Linked DNA regions of Schizosaccharomyces pombe. The gene in region 1 interacts genetically with each later gene. Each region holds a gene or a part of one and is shown on either strand. Other genes may lie near its edges.

Region 1 (3,760 bases):
CTTCAGTAGAATCAGAAAGTGAGGAATTAGATAATGAAAATGAAGATGAGCGTGTTCAAAAATCTGTCAACCTGAACGCTTCTTCCACTTCGGATATTGAAAAGTTTTCAGACCTACAACTCTCTGAAAACATCCAAAAGGCAATTAAAGAAATGGGCTTTGAAACGATGACAGAAATTCAAAAGCGCTCTATTCCTCCTCTTTTGGCCGGTCGTGATGTTTTAGGTGCAGCTAAAACTGGTAGTGGTAAAACTTTGGCTTTTCTAATTCCTACCATTGAAATGCTTTATGCATTGAAATTTAAGCCTCGTAATGGTACTGGTGTTATTATTATATCTCCTACTCGTGAATTGGCTCTTCAAATTTTTGGTGTCGCAAAGGAGTTGTTGAAATACCATCACCAAACATTTGGTATCGTCATTGGCGGTGCTAATCGCCGTGCTGAAGCTGATAAATTGGTGAAAGGTGTTAACCTATTAGTTGCTACTCCTGGTCGTTTACTGGATCACTTGCAAAATACCAAAGGATTTGTATTCCGCAATTTACGATCCTTAGTGATTGACGAAGCCGACAGAATTTTGGAGATTGGTTTTGAGGACGAAATGAGACAAATCATGAAAATCCTTCCCTCGGAAAATCGACAAACCCTCCTGTTTTCTGCTACACAGACAACTAAAGTTGAAGATCTTGCTCGTATCTCTCTTAAGCCCGGACCCTTGTATGTTAACGTTGATTCTGGTAAGCCTACCTCTACCGTTGAAGGATTGGAGCAAGGTTATGTTGTAGTTGATTCTGACAAACGGTTTCTTCTTTTATTTTCCTTCTTAAAACGCAATTTGAAGAAAAAAGTTATTGTTTTCATGTCATCTTGTGCTTCTGTCAAATATATGGCAGAATTACTGAACTATATAGATTTACCAGTACTTGATCTTCATGGCAAGCAAAAGCAACAGCGTCGTACAAACACCTTTTTTGAATTCTGCAATGCCGAAAAGGGAATACTACTTTGCACCAATGTTGCTGCACGCGGGTTAGATATTCCAGCCGTTGACTGGATCGTGCAGTACGATCCTCCTGATGACCCCCGAGATTATATTCATCGTGTAGGTCGTACAGCTAGAGGAACAAAGGGAACTGGTAAATCCCTTATGTTCCTCGCTCCTTCTGAGCTCGGTTTCCTTCGTTATTTGAAAACTGCCAAGGTTTCTTTGAATGAGTTTGAATTTCCTGCCAATAAAGTTGCTAATGTTCAATCTCAGCTCGAAAAGCTTGTTTCCAAAAATTATTATTTGCAGCAGTCTGCAAAGGATGGATACCGTTCCTACTTGCAGGCCTATGCCTCATATTCTTTAAAATCTATCTTTGATATTAATAAATTGGATCTCGCAAAAGTTGCTAAATCATTCGGTTTTGCTCATCCTCCAAACGTCAATATCACTATTGGTGCTAGTGGACGAACAGACAAAAAAGAACGACGTGCGGGTTATAATAAGAAGAATCACGTTGATGTTTATTCAAAACAAAGATCATCAGCTATTTCTCAAGACAAAGAGCGTGGATGGAGCCGCTAAACTTCGTTCATATTAGAAGTTGATTTCATTTAAAAGGTTTATTTAATTCGGTTTTTCTGGCTTTTACAAATGACTTGGATTTTGAATGGTTGAAGGGAATTTTTTTTTCCTTTCATCCTTTTAATATTGGTAAATAGGGTTGTTTTCGCTCAAAAGGTTTACGTGTTTGAAATAATGGATTTCATAATTTTTATTGTAAATACCCGTGTAAGTTATTCAAAGGGAGTTTGATATCGGCTATAAATAAAGCCAAAACTAATCATTGCAACGAATGGTCGTGATCGTAACAACAACGTCTGTCTTGTATATCAAGGACTGTGGTATTTTGTAACAACAATTCAGATTAGCAGCATTGCATATTAGCTCTTGCAAAGCACTTTATTTTTATGCTTATATGTACGATTGAATATTTGTTAGAACTACAAAGCACGTTGCGTTGTCTTATAACATACTAGTGAATTTTAATGTGCTCCTTAAATGTTTTATGATGCTGCATTAACTTTTATTAAAATATCACCATCTAAAGCAAGCGCATCTTCAAGTATTGTATTTCTCTGCCACAATTGACCGCAAACCTTCGAGAAGCCGTTCCTTCGTCCACTATAGAAATAGGAATGAGTGAAAACGAAGTTGTCGGGTCACCAACCACCAATGGTGATAAAAATGAGGATGGTTATCCAGCTGAAAATGGAGAAGGCACAAATGTGGATGACAACAACAATGAAGAGGAAAAGGATGGAATTCCTTTAGATAATGACAATGATGAGAATGACTCTTCTGAAGAATCTGCAACTGATGAAGAAGCTGAGCGACAAGTTAGAGAGGGTTTCATCGTCGAAGATGAAGAAGACGAAGTTCCTCAGGAAATTCGGCGCAAAAAGAAACGTAAGAAGCATGCCGAAAGTACTGCTGATCAAGATATGCTTGATGAGGAAGATCTGGAACTTGTCATGGAGAATACAGGCCAAGGCTCTCGTTTTTCTAAGTTGAGACGTTTAAAACGTGGAAGAGATCAAGAAGAGACTCTTGAAAACATATTTTCTGAGGAAGAAGAAGAAGAAGAAAACGAAGTCGATGATGAAGCTCCTAATCGCACGCAAGGCCACCGCGCTGGCGTTATCGACGAATTTGCAGATTTCATTGAACAAGACGAATTTGAAGACGAAGAGCGTCAAGAAGAAAAATATGAGACTGGTCCGCCCATAGAATCAGTACGACCTGAGGCTTTAGGAATATCGGATGATGATTATATACAAATATACGAAGTCTTTGGCGATGGAACAGATTACGCATTTGCCCTTGAAGATGAAGATGCTGAAGACGAGTTAGAAGAGTCTGTCAGTTTGAAGACCATTTTTGAGCCCAGTGAACTAAAAGATAAAATGCTTACCGAGGAGGATGAGATCATAAGAATCACGGATGAACCTGAACGTATGCAACTTTATATGAAGAGGAACATTGATTGCTCTGAAGATGAATTTAGGGAACAAGTTGCTTGGATTATCGATTATCTCTTAAAAAATAGGCGTGATATTGATGCTGAACTATATGAGCCGTTTCAAACTGCTGTTCGCTATGTAGTTCACTTCTTTATTCGTGATAGTCTTGAAGTACCCTTCATATGGCAGCACCGTCGTGATTATATAGTGCATAACAATCGTGAGAGGAACACAATTACTCCTTTATTAAGTCAAAATGATTTGTGGAATATTTTTTTCCTTTGCACCAAGTTTTGGTCACTTCATTCTAAGAAGCAAGATATCCTAAAATTGTACTCTGATTTGGGAATTAATGATGATTTAGTAGTTCCCTTCTGTGAAGCTGCTTCCTCTCTTGATGCAATTGATGACCTTAATGATTACATACATTTCACTTATTCTGAACAAATCCGTGATCGTGCCTTACTGATGGGTACTGGTCTTCGTCGTCCACAAGGTTCGAAGTATTCTTTTTTTGAAAAATTTAGAAAATCATCACTTTACAATCTCGTCAAAGAATTTGGTATGAGTGCTAAAGACTTTTCGTTCAACGTAGCACAGGGTGCTCGTCTCCGTTTTGTGGAAGACAACACCCTTTCGCCTGAAGAACTAAGTCGTACTTATGTGACAAATGAGCTGTCATCACCTGAGCAGGTACTTCAAAAGGCACGTAGAGTTTTAGCAGAGGAAATTATTCATGATCCTCAATTT
Region 2 (3,760 bases), on another chromosome or scaffold:
ACAGCAATTTTGATACTCAAACTTATGCATTCACGTGCATAATTAACATTAGAAGATTTTACACACAAGTTGTAAAGATGATTGGAAAGCTTTTGAGGAAATTCAGCATCTTCATAGTAGGCTGCGAGATTTAAACAGCCTTCCAGAGAACTTTGAAATTTAGTCAACTCACTAAATGACCTAATTATATGAAATGTAAACATCAAAAACTTTCTTATTTTAAGTTGGAGATTTAAAAGCTCATCCTCGACAAGGATATCCCTCACAACCGATGAGAGTATCCACGATAAAATTTCTGATATGTTCAAAGCAAATACAGTATCATCAAAAACCGTCGAGTCATTGAAAAGTCGAAATGATCGCTCTATTGAATCCAATAAATGTAGAGCTTCTGAATATGGTAAAGCATTTTCGACAAAGAGCTGCTGAAGTGACGACAACTCTTGGATTAAATTGAACGGAAAACAAATGCTATTATCGTGAATTGATAATCGAAAAGAAAATAATAAAAATTTTAATTTAAAACTGATGTCTTCAAATGACAAAGAATAGCCTCTAATGACATATGCAGCGCTTAATTGGAAATCATTATATTTATAATAAAGTTGAGAAAGTTGAAGCAAAATATGCAACCTCGATTCTTTTGATAAATTTTCCAGAAGATGATGAAGTTGTGTCATATCTTTATTTAAAATAGATCCTTCAATATCTTCGCTTTTACATAATTGGACAACTTTTGAGAAAAGTTGGAGGATTCTCGTTTCAAGCTGATTTACATCAAACTCTTTATCGTCAGCTCTCTGGGAAGAAAGAATATTCAACCATAAAGCTATAGAGAGGATTAAAAGTTTGAACGATTGTAAGGCGTTATTTTGTATCATGGAAAATCTTGTCAACAAACGAGCTAAAATTTCTCTTCTCGAATTGGCCAATTGAACCTGGGAAGGAAAGCTTCTTTCAATCCATTGAAAAGGGCCATCTTCGCTTTGTAAGTTATTGATTGTATTCAAAGACAAACCGTTAATTTGACTTAAAGATAAACATCGTAATACATTGAGCTGAAATGTGACAACGATAGTGCCTATATTTAAGAAATAAGAGGCAGGAACCATAGGAACAAAAAGGCAGCTTTCTAATTGGATTTCTGAAACATCTAAAGTGGGATTAAGAAGGGTAGCAGTAGGGATGGCATCGTGGTCCCGATATGTCAGTAAAATTATAAGGTTTTTATGAGTTTTCATCAAAAGACTGATAGCTGGTTCAAAAATCTCCATGTCCAGGAGCCGATTACAAATTGAAACCCCGCTACGGATGCAATCATACAAATGACTTGTATTTTTGGTTACCACCTGCATTTGTTCGAGAATATATGTACAGCATTCTAACAGGTAGAAAACCTCGGGACGGTGAGCCGTATTTAATCTAGAAGGTGTACAAAACATCCTTCTAGTTTTCTCCTTATCTGTAGTGGATAGCTCCGCCCATTGCTTAGCTAAGTTACTGACTGCACATTTGAAAGCCACAAACAAATGCTCGAACGTCCACGAAGGTGCATCACGAGATATATTTTGCTTGAGGTCCTTTAATTTTACAGAAGCCTTGAGTCGCTTAACGAGAGTAATAGAGCAATGCTCAGGATAACTGAGAGCTGAAATGAACTTCTCTGGAGTCCAAGAAACTTTACTAGTAACGATTGACCTTGTAGACATAATGGAAACGAATGAATAGTAAAAAATATTAACCAGCAACAGTTACAACAATAAAAGGGATTTAAATTATTTAACGCCGTTCATGAAGAATAGGTTGCAAGAAATAACTAAGCCAATAGCAAATATCGACCAAAATATAAGATTTAATAATTTGACAGTGATTTTCAGTTCGCAAAGTTATATTACTAATTATTGAGAAGAGGAAAATATTAGTGACTTAAAAATCATGTAGATGTTTTATTATATGCTTATGAAAAGTAGATTAATCGATCTTCCCAACCAATAGAATATTATCAGCATTAATTAGAACATTGCAATAGTCGAAATTTGGAGCTGTTGGTTTTTATTTCGTCTAAAACGAAAAAACTGTCAAGTCGTCTCGCTGGATGAAGATAGGCTAGTTGGTAGCAAGGATGCTTTGGATGTTAAGGCAAATGAAAACACAGTACTTACCACCAAATCCCTAAAACTGGTCCAAAAGAAAGAAAACTGTAAAGAAGAAAATTAAATATAATTAAAAATGAATGTAAATAATTGATAGTTTACAGTTATTATCTACAGTCCATTACTTCATCGCAACCTACTATTTGTAAATTTCAATAATGTAAATAAATATATCAATAAATAAATAAACCGATTAAGACTCAAAACCATACAAATCTGTAACAGGAAAAAAAACATATAATTTCTGATAAACTCATTTTATCAATGCTACATCAATTTTTGTTATAAACTAATGATTTTGAAGGAAATATGAAATTTCCCAATTTTTTGAATTTTTTAAAAAAAACTTCTACATTTTCCCTATTTAAATTTCAACCCAACATTTAGTTTTATTTTAATAAGGGGCCCTACTATAATTTAATTAAAAAATTATAAACATCCCGAAATTGGGATGAAACTTCTAAAAAAAAAGTAAGTGAAAGTTTTTAAAACCGAATTGAAAATCAAAAAAGAATTTTAAAAAGTATCTAATTGAAAAAGTTTTACTATGCAAAACTTTTATTTATTTATTTTTTTTTTCTAGCGTTCATTGCCTCGCAATCCTGTGTTGACATTAAAACAATTTCATAGACAGTTCATTTTTGAGTAGGACAAAAGAAATAGTAATTTAGATAGGATTTCGACATCAAAACGCTCACAGACACTGTGGAACCTTTCCAAATTTCAGTTATTCATAAATCCTGCAAATTCCCAATTTAGCGTGGTACACAATGGTATGTTAATAGACACGAACTCGACATATGCTACTTCCTAGCAAGTTGCTTTGAGCTCTGCGCAGGTAATTATATGAATCACGGTCATTTGTAGATTTATATTTGGATTCTAATTAATTTCTTCAAGCTAGAGTATTGGAGAATTTAACCATGTCTGCCACTAATGGGCCGCAACCGCAGGATCTGAACAGAATTGTTCTGGATTACCTTGCGAAGAAGGGATACTCAAGGACCGAGGCGATGCTTCGTTTGGAAGCATCGGGTTCTGGCGTGTCAGTAGAGGAGAAGTTAAAAAGCATTGAGGAAACTCCAGATGCATACACACACACGTATACGATCTTACGAGACTGGGTGGATAGTTCGTTAGAATTGTACAAAGCTGAACTTCACAGGATATTATTTCCTATATTTGTTCACTCATATCTTAATCTCTTGTCTCAAGATCATTATGAAGCTGGTAAGTTGGTCATATTGGAGGAGGTTACGAATTTGTTACATGTTTGTTTCGATGATCTACGAACAAGAGGGGTATTTGAACTATTCTAAATACTTATTAGTTTCTTTATCTATTGAGTTTACAACTTGTCTTTATTTCTGAAACTCATTCCACTTGACCACCCATATTTAATTCTTTATAAGGATAAATGATAATTTTACTAACGTGCTATAGCAAAGCAATTTTACGAACTCTTCAAAGACGATCATACTGATCTTCATGACTTTGATGTAAAAAACTTAAAATCGCTGAGTCTTCCAAGCCATGTCGCAGAAGACCGCACTGCTCAACAATACCGGCAAAATAAATATCAACTCCATTTTTCTAGGATAACATTT

Evidence for each region.
Region 2: of spt6 (region 1) and cut1, extra expression of one is lethal in a mutant of the other (dosage lethality), as found in Schizosaccharomyces pombe (one study listed by BioGRID).

The regions. Positions count from the first base shown.
Region 1 is NC_003424.3:4,215,229-4,218,988, reverse strand, and holds the start of spt6 (transcription elongation factor Spt6), read left to right. Parts: upstream 1-2,127; 5' UTR 2,128-2,185; coding exon 2,186-3,760. Other genes in the region: ATP-dependent RNA helicase Has1, read left to right, coding at 1-1,571. UniProt on the Schizosaccharomyces pombe protein: Histone H3-H4 chaperone that plays a role in maintenance of chromatin structure during RNA polymerase II transcription elongation thereby repressing transcription initiation from cryptic promoters.
Region 2 is NC_003421.2:641,761-645,520, reverse strand, and holds the start of cut1 (separase/separin), read right to left. Parts: upstream 2,113-3,760; 5' UTR 1,710-2,112; coding exon 1-1,709. Other genes in the region: taf5 (transcription initiation factor TFIID subunit 5), read left to right, coding at 3,077-3,383, 3,597-3,760. UniProt on the Schizosaccharomyces pombe protein: Caspase-like protease, which plays a central role in the chromosome segregation by cleaving the rad21 subunit of the cohesin complex at the onset of anaphase. During most of the cell cycle, it is inactivated by securin/cut2 protein.